Linked DNA regions of Arabidopsis thaliana. The main gene of each other region encodes a partner of the protein of the gene in region 3 in a complex. Each region holds a gene or a part of one and is shown on either strand. Other genes may lie near its edges. The genes, in order: AT3G52860, MED21, AT5G20170 and AT3G10820.

Evidence for each region.
Region 1: AT5G20170 (region 3) and AT3G52860 share a complex: the UniProt entries of both Arabidopsis thaliana proteins name them as parts of the mediator complex.
Region 2: AT5G20170 (region 3) and MED21 share a complex: the UniProt entries of both Arabidopsis thaliana proteins name them as parts of the mediator complex.
Region 4: AT5G20170 (region 3) and AT3G10820 share a complex: the UniProt entries of both Arabidopsis thaliana proteins name them as parts of the mediator complex.

What each region holds. Positions count from the first base shown.
Region 1 is NC_003074.8:19,591,329-19,594,712, forward strand, and holds AT3G52860 (mediator of RNA polymerase II transcription subunit-like protein), read right to left. Parts: upstream 1,441-3,384; 5' UTR 1,414-1,440; coding exon 1,194-1,413; exon of another isoform or gene 1,004-1,193; coding exon 888-1,003; intron 805-887; coding exon 670-804; 3' UTR 520-669; downstream 1-519. Other genes in the region: VSR1 (vacuolar sorting receptor homolog 1), read left to right, coding at 55-167, 267-362; AT3G52870 (IQ calmodulin-binding motif family protein), read right to left, coding at 2,037-2,477, 2,584-2,685, 2,814-2,906, 3,004-3,150, 3,237-3,324. UniProt on the Arabidopsis thaliana protein: Component of the Mediator complex, a coactivator involved in the regulated transcription of nearly all RNA polymerase II-dependent genes.
Region 2 is NC_003075.7:2,430,390-2,434,170, forward strand, and holds MED21 (mediator 21), read left to right. Parts: upstream 1-1,862; 5' UTR 1,863-1,973; intron 1,974-2,255; 5' UTR 2,256-2,275; coding exon 2,276-2,566; intron 2,567-2,650; coding exon 2,651-2,702; intron 2,703-2,931; coding exon 2,932-3,008; 3' UTR 3,009-3,246; downstream 3,247-3,781. Other genes in the region: AT4G04775 (zinc ion binding protein), read left to right, coding at 731-895, 966-1,283. UniProt on the Arabidopsis thaliana protein: Component of the Mediator complex, a coactivator involved in the regulated transcription of nearly all RNA polymerase II-dependent genes.
Region 3 is NC_003076.8:6,806,835-6,812,887, forward strand, and holds AT5G20170 (RNA polymerase II transcription mediator), read right to left. Parts: upstream 4,086-6,053; 5' UTR 3,896-4,085; coding exon 3,807-3,895; intron 3,719-3,806; coding exon 3,514-3,718; intron 3,354-3,513; coding exon 3,240-3,353; intron 3,036-3,239; coding exon 2,950-3,035; intron 2,459-2,949; coding exon 2,071-2,458; intron 1,989-2,070; coding exon 1,542-1,988; intron 1,433-1,541; coding exon 1,118-1,432; intron 1,038-1,117; coding exon 720-1,037; 3' UTR 541-719; downstream 1-540. Other genes in the region: AT5G20180 (Ribosomal protein L36), read left to right, coding at 4,478-4,632, 4,920-5,076. UniProt on the Arabidopsis thaliana protein: Component of the Mediator complex, a coactivator involved in the regulated transcription of nearly all RNA polymerase II-dependent genes.
Region 4 is NC_003074.8:3,385,660-3,391,557, forward strand, and holds AT3G10820 (Transcription elongation factor (TFIIS) family protein), read left to right. Parts: upstream 1-1,540; 5' UTR 1,541-1,698; coding exon 1,699-2,067; intron 2,068-2,178; coding exon 2,179-2,247; intron 2,248-2,360; coding exon 2,361-2,443; intron 2,444-2,740; coding exon 2,741-2,793; intron 2,794-2,871; coding exon 2,872-2,993; intron 2,994-3,105; coding exon 3,106-3,133; intron 3,134-3,217; coding exon 3,218-3,501; intron 3,502-3,585; coding exon 3,586-3,667; intron 3,668-3,751; coding exon 3,752-3,845; coding exon of another isoform or gene 3,846-3,846; exon of another isoform or gene 3,847-3,969; coding exon 3,970-4,003; exon of another isoform or gene 4,004-4,249; coding exon 4,250-4,317; intron 4,318-4,493; exon of another isoform or gene 4,494-4,577; coding exon 4,578-5,034; 3' UTR 5,035-5,344; downstream 5,345-5,898. Other genes in the region: AT3G10840 (alpha/beta-Hydrolases superfamily protein), read right to left, coding at 5,548-5,777, 5,894-5,898. UniProt on the Arabidopsis thaliana protein: Component of the Mediator complex, a coactivator involved in the regulated transcription of nearly all RNA polymerase II-dependent genes.

The DNA.
Region 1 (3,384 bases), on a different chromosome or scaffold from region 3:
TTAATTTGGAGTCATTAATCAGACTTTCTGCTTTTGAATCTGGTGAATGTGTAGGTTCAGGCAAAGTTGGAACCACAAAACTCAGCTGGAGCTTTTTGTGGATCCTTATAATCGGGGTGGGTGTTGCAGGTCTTTCTGGATATGCAGTCTACAAATACAGAATCAGGGTATACGATGTTCTTTACTCTGGTCTTGTTATCATATTAAAACATAGGAAGATTTTGCGGTCTAGATAGAGATGCTAAGTAACAATTGAAATTATGCAGAGTTACATGGATGCGGAAATTAGAGGGATCATGGCACAGTACATGCCATTGGAAAGTCAACCACCCAACACAAGTGGTCACCATATGGATATATGAGTGAAGTTATCAACACAAGCCAAGAGACTCTCTCTCTTTCTATGAGTAGCTTTAAGTTTCCATGTAAATGAATCAATGGACTTGATACAACTCTAGAGAAAAGAAAAAAGCCACAAACAGAAATAAGTGTACCTGCACTATTTGTAAGAAATGTGGATTTGCAGATGGAATCTCCTTTTTGTCTGCATATTACTCTTACAATGTAAAATAGACATAACTGGATGAATAATGAGTGTTACATTATTTACTGTTGAAACTAACTTAAGATCCATAAGAAGAAAAACAATAAACTTTGATTGAGAGATTGTTAAACTTTCTCCAGCTCATCTCTGTGTTTCTCAATCTGTTCTTTCACAAGCTTCTGCGACTCTTGGAAAAGCCTCATGTGCTTCTTTATAAGCTCATCTTTTGTCTTAAGCTCTTCCTCCATTACTGCAATATCCTGTTAAGAACAGAACAGAAGAGAGCAGAAACTGGTAAGACAATATGTGTTTGGAGTTTTCACATTGGTAAATCAAACCACACCTTCTTAAGGCTTTCAGCTCTCGAGGGCGCGCGATCTTCTCGCTTTAGTCCCATGAAGTAAAGCTGAAGCTTTTTCGCAGCTTCCATGAAATCTCTGGCGTGCCGCTCCACATCAACTGCAGCAGTTCAATGAGGGGAATTAAGCTAGAACATCGAATATGGAATCAAAGCTTCGGTTTCAACTGAATTCTAAGCACAAAATTCACTGAGATCATAAGTTAAGCACAAAAACAAACACAACTTCCAAACTATCATTCAAACTAAAACCCTAGAATGGTGAAATTGGAGAGTAGAAAAGGGACTGACTTTGATGAGAAGGGTGAGGAGAGCGATCGATGGCCTGAAGCTCTCTCGCCGGCAAACATGGTAACAGAGCAGCTTCCAAGGCTGTGACGCAAGCCATAATGTCCTCTATGTCATTATTCTGATTGTTCGAGGGGGTCTCCGGTGATCTGATTCCCGGTGGACGGTCAGGCGGTGACGGCGAAGGGTCAGAAGACTGCGGCGGCTTTTGCTGATAATCCATTCACGCCGATCTCGATCTCTCTTTCTCTCTGCTTGTTTGTTTGCCCATAAGGTTTAGTGAAAAATATTATAATGGGGGCCCATTTACTGGATTTAATTTGGGCTTATTGGGCCTTTTCCACATTCTTAATTGTTCTTAAGAATATCATTTTGATGTAATTAATTGAAAACACTGAAAATTCATTTTTAATAAATATATGAAGTAAATCATTTATTTCATATGAAAAAACAATAGTAAGGAGAAGGAACAACATTTTCTGATACTTTACTCTTGATTTGATGTCACAAGATATAACAGATGATGGCTTTTGTAACAAATTTTGATTCCTTATGTAACTTTTTATCTCCATCAAATTAGATAAGTTACATCCTTACTTAAAGATTTTTTAGCTATGGATTTTCTAATGAAATTTGTAAAATGAGTAAGCGATTGACTAAATACTGTAACCATTCTCTTCATTATCAGTGAAAATAGCTTTTAACACATCTCTCATTCTCTTCCTTCTGATTCACAATCATCCATGTGAAAAGATGACAACAAAAACCTTAGATAGAGAACTCACACATTAGTTACAGAAGAAAGATTCTCATTTACTACTACATAAGGAAGTACGGAACATATGATCAGACATCAAGCTTCCCGGTCGGAGAAAGTCTGCTACTCCGGTATTTAGGAGACAAGTTAACAAACTCCAAAGCCTGTGTTCTGAGCTGAACCGGATAATCAGCTGCACAACCGATTCTTGGACCAACTCCTGTCGACCATTTCAGTGACAACTGATGTCCCAATTGTAATGATCTTGACTGTTTCTTTGAGTTTATCCTTAGTAGCATAGATTTCTGCGGCACGTTAGCTTTTGGACTCCCAAGTCCACCTGAGAGTGTTCTCTGGTAGCTACTCCGTTTTGCCTCCTCAAGTGTTCCCACTGTTCCGTTACCGTTCTCATCTGTTTCAGTCTCTGCTTGGAATGTTGTGTCCTCTTTCTTTAACGGTTCCGGTTCAGATCCTCCGTTGGATTTAACATAATCATCGTAGCTGTCAGAATCTTCACTAGCTTTATGCACCTACACATACATAGATATATTAGCTCTCAAGTAGTCTCTTTTTCTAAACAACCAAACTCTAGTTAATGATATCATTCACCAGCCAAGATTAGAACAAGGGCATTACCTCAACATTGTCTAGGTTCACTGCGTTCTCTCTGAGAAACCCGAGAAATGTGTCGAGACTATCGTCTGACGGCCTGTAATGTCCGCTATATGCAGAGATTGTCTGAGATTAAACCGAAAACAGAACGATCAAACAGAGAAATCACAGAAGGCAGACATAATAAAAAAGTTGATATGAATGAACATGTATCTCAACCACTCTAAGAAAAGGACGTGGCCTTAGTAAGTTACCTTGAGAACTCCATTGTCAACAATCACCCTCCCAGCAGCTAATGTAGCTCCTCCAGCCAAAAAGCTTGAGTGATGGAACCTTCCTTTCTTTTTCTGAAGTAAACATAAACAAAGAAAAGAACCATTAGAATCTTTTTCAATACTAATATCAATTCATCACCAATAGAAAGATATAACGGTTTTAACTTACCAGACCGGCATAGAGTTTCTTGAAAGTACTCATAACAAAGATCCATTTTGTTCCTTCCGATCCATGCATTGTGTGTAAGAACTTTCCAGTTAACTTGTGAACAATCTTCCCTTCTATGATCACATACTCATACTCTTCCCTCTCTTGCTGATACCAGAAAAGGCTTATATGAGAGAAATCCCAAAAACAAGTAAAACCAATATTGACATAAGAGAGGAAAAAATGGCACATACAGGTCCAAGATATCTAATGCATTGCTGCTTAAGCTTTGACCTCGGACATTCGTTAAGATCCAAATCTATCCCTCCTCCAACATCCAACCTGCCAAAAAAAAAAAACCCGGATATATCACAAAGTTATAGATAAGAATTATCACCTAAA
Region 2 (3,781 bases), on a different chromosome or scaffold from region 3:
AAAAAGGAAGTAAAACCAAAAACATATATAAGGAAACATTTTAAACCAACGAAATTGAATCAAGAGACAAAATTCAAAAGAAAATAAAAAACTATGGGAAAAATAAGACCTAAACTTCTCCTAAAAAATGTGAACGCCGGAAACACCAATAAGATCGGATAGATTTTACACCGAAGTCAAAACTAATAGTAAATCGACAGAGAGGAAAGCAAGAAGCCGCTGAAACCAGAGACATAAGTACAAACACCATCACACCTCACCCACCAGACCGAGATAGCAAAATGTACTAGGGACAAGGCATAAACCTTGAAGATCTACTAGAGATAATTAAAGCACTAGACACAATCAGTATCGATTCTACTTGGGTTAGCTGATTTTCGAGCCATAAACTATTTCGATTCTCAGCTTTCACCCCCGGACTTTTGGGCCCTTAAATTTCCACCATCAACTTTCATATTCCCAAAATTACATCATCTACTTTCGGATTCATGCTTAAACATACATTTCCAATTGAACCATTCATTTAACCGGGATTAACCACAAATCCGCGTTTACTGTACCGCGATTGCGATTAACCCGACTAATACCCAGACCCGTTAAGAAAACGACGTCGTTTTCATTTCGTTTAACTCATCAAAAAGAGAAAGAAAACGACGTCGTTTTCATTCTTCTTCTTCTGCAAAATCGATTTGGTCGATTAGGGTTCTTCATTCGACAATTTTATAAGAAAATGAGCACCAACAGCTACTACTCATCCGCTTCCAGTTCAGGATTTCGTGTCTGTCCTCCTGGTGTCCCCTCGAAATGTTGGTGTGGAGAAGAGATCATTACATTCACATCGAAAACAAAGGAGAATCCATACCGGAGATTCTACCGTTGTGCGATAGCAATGAAGGTACACATTTCGATTTTGTGATATATTTGATTGATTGAAGGAGTAAATGATTGGAAATTATGTTTTATAGAGAGAAAATGAAGAGCACTTGTTCAAATGGGTTGATGAAGCTCTCTTGGACGAAATTAAGATGGTAAATGAGAAGTGTAAGAGAGTTGTAGAGAATATTAGTGACCTCAGAATGAACGTGATGGCTAATATGGAGCTCCTTAATAAAAACGCTAAGCAGATGGAGGAAGAGCTGATTAAGAAGATGGAGGGTGAACTCTTGACCATGAAGGAGAATGTGGAAGAGCTAGGACATGTTATGGCAAAGTCAGCTTTGAAGACTGTAGGGGTTGCTGTTGTGATTGTTGCATCTATTGTATGGCTTTGGGGAAGAGTGTAGGTGTTGTTGAGGTTTTGGAGTGAAATTGTAGTATTGGATTAGTCTCTGTTATAAAATTGTCGAATGAAGAACCCTAATCGACCAAATCGATTTTGCAGAAGAAGAAGAATGAAAACGACGTCGTTTTCTTTCTCTTTTTGATGAGTTAAACGAAATGAAAACGACGTCGTTTTCTTAACGGGTCTGGGTATTAGTCAGGTTAATCGCAATCGCGGTACAGTAAACGCAGATTTGTGGTTAATCCCGGTTAAATGAATGGTTCAATTGGAAATGTATGTTTAAGCATGAATTCGAAAGTAGATGATGTAATTTTGAGGAATATGAAAGTTGATGGTGAAAATTTAAGGGCCCAAAAGTCCGGGGGTGAAAGCTGAGAATCGAAATAGTTTATGGCTCAAAAATCAGCCACCCAATTCTACTTCAGTGTTTTTTTTTTTAATTAGTTGTCAATTAATTAAAGCAGTAGGTTTAAAGAAACAACAGAAATCGTTCCTTACGAATTCTATGGAATTAGGGCCCAAAAATCCAAAGGAAAGGCCACCTTAAAAGCCCATTTTAAAAATCTTCGAGCCCAAACCCAAAACGCAGAACGAAGTTTATTAAGAACAACAAAACGCCCCAATTCGCAGCGATTATCTGTCGTTGCCACACCCAACAGACTCTGCGTCGCCGGAGAAATCTTGTCGACGGGTAAGTCTCTTCGTTAAAGCTTATGCTTCGTTAAATCGATTAGGTCAATTTTTTCCCTGAGGATTCGCCATTTTGATCCTCTCTGAAATCCAACTGGTTTTAAGTGATTTATGCTTTGGCACTAGTTTTGTTGAGAATCTTGTTTGATAAATTCAGGAATTGACCACCAATTTTGTGCCATTTGAATCTCCTAGATCCTCTCTGAACGTTATATCTTGCTTTTGAGTATATGTTAAAAGTCTAATATGTGATTGATTACTGTAAATTTTATACTTGTTCAAGGTCTTTTAAGGTTTTGGAAGATGGATATAATCTCACAGTTGCAAGAACAAGTGAATACGATTGCTGCTATCACTTTCAATGCTTTTGGGACACTGCAAAGGGATGCACCACCAGTCCAGCTTTCACCTAATTATCCTGAACCACCCGCTACAACTACGGTTACTGATGATGCTACGCCTTTTCCTGAGCAACCTAAGCAGCTCAGTGCTGGCTTAGTTAAGGCTGCTAAACAGTTTGATGCTTTGGTTGCTGCACTTCCTTTGTCAGAAGGTGGTGAAGGTGCTCAGCTCAAAAGAATCGCTGAACTCCAGGTCAAACAAGTCACACCGATATGTCGAGTTCTTGAATCCGATTACTTCTATTTGTCTAACCGCTTTGTCCTGTTTTTTCTTCAGGTGGAAAATGATCTTGTTGGTCAAGAACTCCAAAAGCAACTAGAGGCTGCAGGTAAAAAACGATCTTAGGTTTTCACTTCATTGTTGGTGTGTCTTATCTGTCTGTAACTGGAGCAGATTCATTATGCACTTCAAATTTCAATTTGTATACTTTCTTGTTGATACACGCACTATGGTTAGATGTTATCTTTAGTGGTTCTAGAATTTGGAATTTTTGTTTTCCCTTGCAACTGCCTCTGACGATTGAGCTGATGTTAATGGTGTGACCTTGTTTGTGACAGAGAAGGAGCTAAAGCAAGTACAAGAGCTGTTTGGACAAGCTGCTGACAATTGCCTGAACATGAAGAAACCTGAATGAAATGCTTGTTTACCTTTTGTCGAGCTGATTTAGAAACTATATGATTTGGTTCAGCAACAATTATCTTTTAGGTTCATAAGGAATATCTATTCTAAGTTGGTTCACCAAAAAATTGTTGTAGAAGCAATTACAAGAATGTTAGTTAGCTCACAACAACAGAACCATTATTTTAACCTTACACTTTTTTGACCTGTCTGATTACAATCTCAGAGAATCCACTTTATCATTTTCACAATTACAGGCCATGATTGACACATCATGTTTGATTCTCCGGGCAGTGTTGGTCAAATTACTATGATGGTCAAATTACTATGAACTCTGGTATCTGTCACATTCAATCCAAGTTGCTGAAAAGAAATGACCAGTCCATAAGTTGTGGTCCAAAACCGGATCTTGATTGTGTATTTGTACTCAAGCATGTGAAGATATCCTAACTCATCATCCTTCTTGCGCTCTCTCACAAGACTTGTATAGAGTCCAACAATCTTTTGTCTGCGTGATGAAGCTTTAGGATGAAAAGAAAACTTTAGCCAGTCCGATCAATATTATAAATTAACAATTGTATAAATTTACCAATATATATATTTATATAAATATTATATGTAAAATATTTAGTGAAATATGACTCTACTATTGTTTTTCTTTAATTTTTATTAATTTTTTGTAAAGTTCAATTCTAATACTTTTACTATGTGAAAAAAAAAAATTGTATTTTTTTTTTAAACTTAATAATTGTTTTCTACTTATAATCGGATTAAGAAAGATTATTGATT
Region 3 (6,053 bases):
GAAGACACAGACATGCCCAAGAAGAATCATAACTAAACACATGAAAAACTGAGCAAGTACAATTATCGTCAAAACCTAACAATTTATCACTACCGAGATTTGTAGAAGAATAATCAAGGGAATATGTTCATCTATTCGTCACTAATAAATCAGATTTACTATATATAGAAGCATCTGTGAATTTCATAATTATCAGATCATATAGTGAATCCAACTCCATAACGGTGACTCTCTCTCGAGAGAGCAGCAAATCAGAAAATTGAGAAATATCGATCGGTGGATGGGATGATACAAAAAAAGGGAACAGCAAACCTGAAGTTGAGCTGAAATCGATGCTAATGGCTAGAGAAATTAGGGTTTTGAAGCTTGAATCTTAGCAAAACAGATCAGCGAGACGTCAAGAGAGGGATCGAGAGACGGAGGAGAGAAACGTTCGCGTCAGAGTTATTCTCGTTTTCTCTACATATTTCCAATTCTACCCCTTTCTTCCTTTAAGTACTAAAGTCATTATGATTTCAAAGATTTTTTAAAAAAGAAAAATTGATAATATTATTTGAAATAAAGATGTTTTATAATAATCATCAATCCTTAATCCATAAAATCCACATTTCCAACTATTCAAAAAAGTGATGTTTGGGCTAGACACTAGAGTCTCACTAAACCATTGTAATCTACAAATCTTGAAGAACTAAACATGTTCACTACTTGTCTTTCAGCATTTACAATCTCTCTAAAGCATTGCGACCAGTACCACACAAGTTGATCAAATCCATGAGAACAGAGTACAAGACATCCAGAGACAAATGACCCAACAACTTCCTACTCTCCGACACTCCTTCCCTCTCCTCTGTGCATCCATTCTCCATCACTAGCCACCACGAGATGCATCCTTTTGCGTCTTCCGGGTTTACATGCGCCACCAGGCTCACTCTCTCCCCTTCCACTATCTCTAACGATAGTGACAGAAATTCCCTGCTCGCTTTTGTCCCTACCGTCCGTGCTTCCTCCAGTAGCCAACACACTATCTGGCTCGCCACCTTCTCAAATAAATAAACCGCGTGTTTAAGGGACCGTGTTGCTATAGACATGATCAACTTTAGGAAACGAAAGAACATACCTGTTGGAGAATCATCACGGGAAGGTCGGCCACGTCGCACTCGTATTTGTTTATAGAGAATAGATTGCAGGAACTGCTTTTGAGTAAGCCAACCACATTGGGCGTGCATTCCGCTTCAACACTAATACAATCATCCTTCACCACCACTTTTGTCCGGAACTGCGTCTTAAGATTCCTCTTACCATCAGGAGACTGGGTTTCAGACCTTCCTTGGGGGATGATTGATGGAGGAACAGTCATGAAGACAGTCCATGACGATGTCCGAGAATTCCATGTAGGATGAGATATCAGATGAAGATACGGGACCTTGCAGACCTGTTCAATGAGGAAGTAACCATTTTTTTTAAAGCATGATCAAAGATGACAACAAGTTTCTTGATAGAGAAGGATCATTCAATAAAGTTTAGCACATCAGGGAAAATACCACGCTTTCAAGATGCACAAGAACTCTATTTGAGAAGATTCTATGAGTCAAAGATAAGCAGAAATGGTCAAGAAGTCCGGAGTTGCTGTCCTTTTCTGTTTGATTGGATGCTCTGATACTTTTTGACTTGAGCTGATCTTTAGCTTTTCCAAAGGCATGCTCGTGAAAAATTTGTTGCAAGTATATTTCATAGCTGGTGCGATTAGGGAACCCTAGCTTCTTCAAGCGATAGTCTCCTCCTTCTGCTGGTTCTACTCTGCCAGATGATTCAATGAGCAAGGTTGCAGATTCCGACTTCTTGATGCTGGGATTTTTGCCTGATGGGTGGAGAGACACAAACAGAGAAGCTCCTTGGCCGATGCTCATTTCCATAAAATTTTCTCGTAGTCCACTTATGTTGAATCCCACACCTTCATTGAATGCTTCACGATTTAGCATGTCAAACAACTGGTAAGAAGACCAAAGAAGTGAGAAATAGTCGTGAAGAGATATACCAAGCGTACTACAAGATATATGACAAAAATACCACCTGCTCAGCAAAAATTGATTTATGCACCTCCCTCAGTAGCGAATGAGTTTCTTTAACATATTTGTCGTCACTTGCAGACAACTTCTCTGATGTTCCAGGGATATCGTGACCAGTAGTCGAGTCTATGTGCTCATCAGATTCGTTTGAGTTGCCAATCGGATTTAAGCCAACATACCCAAACCGAAGAGAGTACCATGAATCTTGGGGTACATTAATGGCCAGCATACCAGCTGAATCATGATCTACACGAATAGTGGACAGTGTAGATGGGCGAAAACCAGAAGTCGGATCATATAATGAACTGTCAGAAAGATCAATGGTGAAGCCCTCATTGCTGGCATTTGAAGCAAGCATGCGTTGTCGCTTGACTTTCCAGTTCCGCTGCAACCTATAAGCTTGTTAGTATAGCAAAAATAACCATTTGCACGTATAAATCAATCTCTATTTTGGAAGCTGAAGTCAGCTTATCATTTTATACAAATTATGAGCAATTTCAACGGAAATTCTCTAATTTGTGTTGGCATAATCTTAAGCAGTCACTACACAACAAAATGGATGTTCCTGAAGTACTGTACTATGCAGGTTCAGTAACAGAGACGGTGTAGAAGTCAAAATTTAGAACTTTTTCACATTAGACAAGAATAATAAAATGCTTTCACGTTTATCAGTCATAAGTCATAACATATTACAAAACCTACGTGCGTAATAACTCTACATCCAAAATTCGGACGCTAATTATCTGTGCACAACACAAATAGCTATGACATTGTAAGCTACCTAAAACTAGTATCAAGAATGCAAACAACAAATTCTTAAAAGTTGCAAAATAGTACTAAGGAAAATAGCCACTGACATTAAATGAAAAGCAAGTACTCGAACCTGATAAGAGCACCATAAAACCTTGCTTCACGATTGATTTTCTGCTCTAAAGCTTTTGCTGATTGTTTAAAGTAGTTTCCTAAATTCTGCAGAGGAAACAGATATTCAGAAGTGAGATAAGCATACCATCCAAAGACAATTATATAGTTAAAAAGCTCTTTACGAAACCAAGTTAATGTTTCCAACAGTTTCTCAGGATACTAAAAAGTGCCTAACTAATAACAATTACAAGAATCCTTCCATCTTTAAGCAAAGTTAAATTGCACATAAGAAAGTAAGCTACTGATTACCCGGTAGCCCTGCAGCTTGGTAGCAGTAGACACAGCAAGATCCGAGAGAATCTCATTCGGCATCGGCTTAGGTCTGGTCATCCCAGCAACTGTTACTGCATCATTTGCTTGGACCTTCAAAGATAAAATCAGAAGATAAATTGTTTAAGTTTTACTCTCTATTCAAATATCAGAAACCAAACTTCAGCTCCTTCCATTCAAACCAATAAAACAGACACTGTAAGAGCTATGAATATCCCAAAATTCTTATCTATTATCAACAAGAGTCACTCACTGTGTCGATAAGGTCAATGATGACAGTGAGCTCCTGATGAGCCAATTGCAAATTCTCAACCATTCCCTTCCATTTCCATTGCTCCACGCTATCCTTGGAGCTTTTCTTCTGCTTCTTCTTCTTCAGCTCATCTTCCTCTTCCAACGCCCACGCGAAGTCTATTCTCCGAATCAGCGATACTCTCTTATCATCGTAATCAACATCACTACACGTCAAAAACAAAAGGAATAATTTAGAAGCAAAACAATCTGGGAAGATTTTGTCTCGTTTCTCAAACACCAGACAACACTTACGAAGGAAAACGCTCGGCGCCATTTTCTTCGATAGATTCCAATCGTTTAATGGGAAGCCTGTCGAGAGAGATTTCCATGTCGCTATCCATATCGTACAGAAAAAAATCTTCCCGGTCAAAAATTCAGATTTTCTAGGTCGACGGTAACACAGTCCGGCCAAATCGCTTCAACGCTCCAAATCGGATATTTAGATCTAATAATCCGGGTCAAAAAAATTCCGGATCATTTTTACGGGTAAAGCCCATTAAAAGCCCAAAATATGTTGTACTCTGACTGTGCAAAACTCCTCCGTAAAACCCTTTCATTTGCATTTGGGAATCGATTGCTCTTCTTCGTAGTCGCCTTTGAATTCGCAGGTATTTTTTTGTTCTTCGCTTGATGGGTTCTCGTTGATTATCACTCGATTTCGTATCTGGATCTATTATAGGGTTTTCTCTTGTGTGATTCCGTGTAGTTAGAGATGGATGCTTCAGATTCGTTTTACTTTTGCTTCCATCATCGGATCAACTAAGGATTGCAGTTTTTCTGGTAGATTAAGTAGAAATGATATGTTTAGAGGATACAATCCTTAGTTTTGAATCTTAAAGTTGAATACTTTGAAGAGTTCTCTTTCATTTTCATCTAATGAGTTTTGTGTTAATGATCGGTTGTGAATTGCAGAGTGAGAAGCAATGAAGGTGAGATCATCTGTGAAGAAGATGTGTGAGTTTTGTAAAACAGTGAAACGTCGTGGACGTGTGTATGTTATATGCTCTTCCAATCCTAAGCACAAGCAAAGACAAGGGTTCAGTTCCTTTGCTTATGAAGGAATTACACCTTCCCCTTTGTAAGTGAATCTTGTATCTGGTTTTCGCTTTTGAGTAATTAGGTGTCTCATTCGGATTTTGGACGGGTTAAATACAGTGTATATTGACTACTGTGAATCACTTACTACCCAAATTTTGTCCTATAGAATCATTGAATGAAAAGTGAGGATCTATTTAGAGTCTGTTGAACAGTTACTAAAATACATTATAGTGGAACATCACACAGAAGCATGAAGCATGTGCACTTGTTTTCCTTCGCAGAGTTGAGAGTAACTTACTTAAAAAGTTATTTGGGATTGTAAAACAGGTTTGCTGAGCCGATTGCTAGTCAGGAGTTGGTGAGGCTGCCTGGTCAGGGGGTATCAGCCGGACTGGCATCACTTTTACACAAAAGGCCTATGCCAACAGCGTATTTCGGATGGAGGTCTGGTCTTGCATCCATTCTCTTCAAACAAGGAAATTAGGATGTCAGCATTTCCCTTTTTATTCTTCAGATTTGTAATCGCAGTTTTCTTCCAATTCCTATGAAACATTATTGTATATCTCTCCACTTTTACTTTGGTCAGTCGTATGCTCCTTCGAGACCTGTTTGATTGTGCCTCGCATGACCTGAACAAAGAGATATATTATGACACTCGAGTATTTGTTTTTACATTTTCCACTGGAGCATATGTTAGGGATCAATATGTTTTTCTTTTAGAAAACTCTGGTTAGTGATATCCACATCGATTACATGCCAAGGAAATGAGCAAATTGTGGTTGAATTTGTATTGACCGCGTACCAAGTAGTTTGAAATATGTTGTGGCTCATTTGCGCATGTTTATAGTCAAATTTCACTATTCCAAAATGAGGCTGCACAAAGCACACCCACTAAATGCGAATCAAATACAATGAAACTGGAGAGACGGAGACTTCTCAACGACAACGACCCTTCTCTTTCTCCACCGTTGAGCACTCGGCTCGTAGGTCCTACGTGGTGGTGTGAGAGGTCACAGGAAGCCCACTCTGATAGGCATATCCCATGGGCCCCGCTTCTGGACAGTACTACTTTTGGACATAACAAGCCTTCTTTATTACTTTTTGTTGTAGTTTTCCCTCAGTCAAATCGTTAACAGCTTCATTCCAAAAAAATCACCTCACCAATAATTGTCATACTCTTTCGTAATTTCCATTTTTGAGCTGCAATTTTAACCAATTGATCTCGAGAGATAACCATCATAATTGTGTTTCTTTCACAGGAAACAAAAAATACGAAAGGGATAATTAATCTACTCAATATATAAAATTCAGAAAGGATAATTTCTCAAAGGTTCAGGATTCCTTGCCAATGAAAATTAACATGATCTTAATATATATATCATTTGTTTACTTGGACTATATGACGTATTGGTCACGGTTGTTCTTGAATAATTGAGTTGTTCACTTGTCGTCTGATTAATG
Region 4 (5,898 bases), on a different chromosome or scaffold from region 3:
CCTTTTAGAAAAAAGATTAAAATAACTCATCGTTTGTAACTCTACTGGTGACTAAGTAACATAAATTCCGGACGGAACAAGGCTTCAAGATCACAAGCCAACGAATTTCAAAGTTGGAAAATGAACTAAATTCGAAGAGATATTATGAGTTAAAAGTCCGAAACTGTTTTGTTATATTAATTTAAAATAGGTTTTACAATTTTAGATATATAAGCCCTAAACAACTTTCACAAATCCAAAATGGATACACTAGAAGCACAATTTGAAAGATACATAAAACACTGAACCCTTACAAACACATGACAAGAAATCGATTAAAAGGCCTTTAGATTCAAATCAAACGCAAATGACGTAGAAACAAATAGTCAAATACAAGTAGTGTTTAAGCTCCATAGCTTAATCTTTGACCCCGTGATCTTGCTTTTGCATAGTAGCTATTTTTGTAGAACCAAAATTATGCAGAAATTTTTACACTGAACCAAAACAAAAATATGCAGAAACAAGATCATGCATGGGTTTTAACATTAAACCAAAAAAAGATCATGAATGAGTCAAAGATTAAGCTATGGAGCATAAACGATAACATGTGATCGGTGGAAACAAAACGAATCATGCAAGTATGGCTTACCGGAGTTAAAATGGATTGATCCGACAAACTTGTGAATCTCCAAGTGCTGAAAGAATATTTAAAATAGAAGAAAAGGAAACTTTTGGAAGAAGAGAAGTCTTTAACGCAACTGAAAATAGAGTCGAGGATGATATCGACGACGAAACTTCAAAAGACAGCTTCAACAACGGGAACATGTGGCTGAAGCTTAACAAAAGAGTCAAAGCACGAAACTAACGAGAAATTTAATGAAAAAAATACAAAAATAATAATTTAATACTAGTACTAATTAAAAAATAGTGCTAAACATCTGTGGGACTATGAACAATGCTTTTTAAAACGACATAATTGCGACACCAAAAACGCGTTTATTTAGATTACCTTTCAAGTAATTCACGTGATAAATGTAATTATCCATAACTTTGAAAAATGAGTACCCCATTGTTGGTATCAGGACATGTGTAATGTGTTAATAATTTACTATTACAGTATGCTCTGAATGTAATGTTGATAACATAACTTTAAAAAAACGAATATCCCATCTTTATACTAGCTAGGCCATGTGACGTGTTTTTCATCAAGGGTCATTATGTCATATAGGACGACACATGTATAGTCTAGTTATTACTAATTTACTATTAACTAAATAATCATTCAGTTAATCATAAGCCTATATCTTTAGAATTAATATATATATTGACAAATTCAATATTTTACTTAAATAAAACAGATGAGTTATCAAGATAAATGATCAAAACTATTACCATTTTTTTTTATAACCTAAGTTTTTTAATGTCGACATAAATTTCTGGCTTTTTAAAATTCTAGGGTCTTCTTCTCTTGCCCTCTTTTAATTGGCTCAAGCTCTGTTTCTTTAAGTTTTCTCGGGAAAGTTCTTGTGGACTTTCTGCAGAAACTTTTGTCAGATTCTCAGGCGAATTTTATTTCCTGCAGAGAAACTTAAAAAAAAAAAAAACTACACAACTAGTACTATATTGATTCGTATTCAAAAACCTAAATTCAAATTTAATTAGGGTTTTGCAGATCGAGGAATTCGGATTCCGGAATCGATTTTCCCTCGCCGTTTCGTGATGGCGAAGATGAGACCATCTGTTTCGTTGGATACTTGGAGAGAGTATTTCCGGCGAGGAGATTCTGATATTTTTGGTATCATTGATCATGCGATTATGGTAGCTGCTGCAGATTGGCCAAAGGAGTTTAAATCCAGGAGTGATAGAATTGCTGAGCTTCTCTTCTCTTGTAAAGTGAGTCGCTGCATTGGTTGTGACCACCTTGAGCTCTCGATAGCTGGAGACGAAGCGGCGGTGGAGATAGTTGGAGTTGGCGGCGGCGGTGATAGGGGTGATTCTGGTGTTGCGACGGGTGAAGGTGAAGAGGCGTCTGTGAGTGTTGATGAGGTTATGAGGATCAGAGATATCTTGTCGAACAAAGACGATGAGGTTTTTAGTCTCTTTGCTTGGATTACATTAAAACTTGTGCTAATTCATTGGTTAAATTTGGAATCTTTGTGTTGATTGTTGAGTTTTTGGTTTCTGTCATCTTTTTTGCAGAAAGATTCTGTGTTACTCGAATCTCTGAGAAAGCTTGAGTCAATGTCTATGAGTGTGGACATTCTTAAGGTTTGTTTTTTTGGTGTTGTTTTGATATTGTATGATTTGGTGTAGTGGAAGTTGCTTATTCTGATGGAGCTTTTCGAGGCTGTGGAGTGATTTAAGTGTTTACGTTCTTGCAGGATACTGAAATTGGAAAGGCTGTTAATGGTCTGAGGAGACATAGTTCCGATAAGATTAGCAAACTTGCAAAGACTCTTTTCGCGTATGAGTTTCATCATTCTCATTGTGTGCTTAGTTTCATTTGTTCTCATACTCTCGCATCTGTGATGTGAATTAAACTTTGGCAAAATGTTCCAAAAAAATTGAACCTCCACGGTTTGATTTAGATGCAAACCAGTTGCCTTGTAGGATGTCTCAAATTGTAAAATGTCATTATAAAAGCCTTGGTTGATCATTAGGGAGCTGCTCTTGTGTTAGCTCAATACTTAGAACATTTTACTCTTCCTTACTTTCTGGCTCCCGAGTATAAAGATTGTGTTTTTATATATGGGATGCACAGAGAGTGGAAGAGGCTGGTGGACCAGTGGATGAACACCCCAGAGGAAATGGCTGGTAAATAGCTCTCTCCTCCTGTTCCGTAGTCAGTGCGAGCAGGTTTTGGTCTAGATTTATAGTAATTGGGTCTTGCAGGCACTGAAGGGACGCCAGAGTCTCTAAACCTTTCAGTAATTGATGAAGAAGAAGCCTTTCCTTCTCCTCCACATGATTTAGATATCTATGCACCTGAACCTAATGGGTTTGAACTTTCTCAGGTCTATTAACATTTTTCCCTCTCATCATATTTTATTTCTGGCATAGACGAAATGTTATCCTGACAAGTTTCCTCCCTCGTCCTTGTTTCATAATGTCTTGGGTCACTTGAAGATCTTAGATTGTTTGGACTGCGATGGAAGTGAGTTAGTATACTCTTTGGTACTCTGTTCTCTACTTGAAAGTTTTCCTATATTTTGACACTCATGGTGGCCACTGTTTTCAGATCCTCGTCACAGTGTGGAGTCCAAACATGAAAGAAAATCGCAAAGTAGTGCGGGGAGGAGACCCAAGGGAACAAATGATGCAAATGTGGTTGGGAGGTACTGCAATGATCAACAGACGAGGAGAGAAGAAGCTGATGTTAGACCTATGAAGCACTCAGCCACAGATGTTGTCGAGCCTAAAAGACAAACAAAGCAAAGTAGAGAACAAATGGTATCCGCAATCCAACGAAAACCAACTGCTGTTACTGAGCAAAAGCGGAAACTTGCTGGACCTCAACAAGATGTGAGTGTTTGAGTTAATAAAGCCGTGGTGTTTGATTATTAATCTGTTTTGTTTCTAATAGCAAGTGTTCTTGTCTTTGTTCAGAAACTCAAAGCTCTGGATCCAGACTCAAAGTTTGAGTTTGCAAAGCGGAAACTCCAAGAGAGCTACCACCAACATGAGAATGGTTAGTCAAATCGTCTTAAGAGATTTCAATATTTCCACTATTACAATACACCTAATTCTTAATGACCCATTTGTTTTTGAACAGCTAAGAGACAGAGGACGATACAAGTACTGGAAACTATCCCAAAGCAAAATAAAGTTCAGAAACCGCAACTCAAGAGACCCGCCACACGAAGATAGTCCATTTTTTCCTTCGGATGATCTATACAATTACTACGACCATTCAGAGGCGTTAATATACAACAAAAGTGCATTGACAGATCCAACATAAACTTCTTAGGATGCTCTATTCTTTTGTCCCAGTATTTATTGGTACTTCTGGTCCAGTGAATTCCCGGTTTGGTCCGGTTTTGTGACAATAGAACCTCATAATTGTGACAAGGGAAAATCCCTTTTTCACTTTCTTCATGTTTCATTATGAAAATAAAAAAGAAAATTATTAGGACAAAAGGGCTTCTCGTATTTGACCATCCCTAAACCTAACTTGCGAGGCAAGCAAACTTTTTAAATCTGTTTATACAAAGATTTTGTAATTTTTAATATCACTTATGAGGTGAAATATAACAGAGTGATAAATTCCTAGGGTTACGAGTTACCTTCCCTCATCCTCAATCTCGCGAATCCTCGTGATAGTTCCTCCCAATTCTCAAGGTACCTACTTCAATTTTCCTTGTTGTAAATTTTGTTTTCCTAGTGCTAGTTATCGATAAACCTGATGGGTTAAACGTTGAGCTGTTAAGAATTCTGGCCTAGATTTTGTACGTCGGGGATACAACCGAAAGTCTTTGATTGGAAATCGAAAAGCCCTAATTTTGTGGCCTTTATTGATAAACATAAGTGAGAGCATAGGTTTGGTAAAACAATGGTCTCTGTTTGCATTGCATAGAATTGAAATTTAGCTGCATATGTAGACATGATGAGTTGATGATTGATATTCCTGTATATTTTGGACTCGTACTTGTGCAGATAGATAAAGCAGAGATGGTGGATGAGATGATGATTTTCAAGAAGATGAGTGTCCTTCTAACTGAAAAGGATTTTGTTGATGCCATCGTATCTGTTTCTCTCAAGGACCTTACGAGATCACTCTTTGTCAGGTTCGAGGCCAAGGCTTGCCCTAAGTTTGACCTTATCCATAAGACTTCCGTCGAGACGGTTAGGTGCGTAGGGAAAACCTTTATGCATATGCTCTCTAAGGTTTCTAGAGAGTTTCCTCCCCGCAATCGAACTCATCCCGGTGGCCTCCTCTATCAGCGATTTGATCCTACTCACTTGTCTCTTGCTCGCCAACAAGTTGCTATATGCAAGGAAACTGATTCACAGTATCCGCATGAGATTGTGATTCACTGGACAAGTGCAAGCGCCTGAAAGTGGATGCTCTTGGTTACATGTTTACTATTGCAATGAGATGCGCCCCTAGTTTGGCTTATCTCGAAAAGTTCAGGCAGTACATGGCTCAGGCGAATGAGAAGAATCTGGAAGATGAGACTGCTGCTACTCTGACGAACAAGAAGCATGTCGCCCTCTTGGCTGAGGAAGACTGCACAGTCCTTTGCACCCCTCGCTTTGAGTTTCAAAATGTTGCCGACTTTGTTCTTCCAGAAACTTTGCGTTGGCTTGACGAGTTGGAGCTTCAAGCCAGCTTCAAGCTCCAAGCTAATCAACTGGACTCTGCAAAACTTGCCCGCACTCGCAAGAAGCACCACATGGTGTATTATTCTCGCTTATATATCAATCTGTTGAAGAATCAATGTCTCTCGGTTATTTTATTCTATATCTATCTAGTCTTTGATATTGTCGACATTTGTTTCTTCAGGTCCAATAACATGAAGAATCTCTCTAAAATTTAGTCTTGATTGAGCTAAAATATATAGTTATACTTCATGATACAATGCCTTGGAACTTCAAGTCCACGTCTTGTTGTTGTGACCCTCCAAAAGCATTCCCTAGAAACTTTGCAACAATAGATATGAATTCATCTGGTTTTTCCTCTTGAGGAAGATGACCACATTTCTTAATTACTTCGAACACTGATCCCGGTATGGCTCGTGCCAGCCTCTCTGCGTTCCATGCTGGCACAATACGGTCCGTATCTCCCGTCACAATCAGAACTATTAGAAACATGAAGATAGTATGATGTCATTGGTTCAGAGTTCAGACATACAATGCACAATATTTGGTTCCAATTTCTAATTCATTGTCAGAATCTTATAGAAAGAGATATTACCAGGG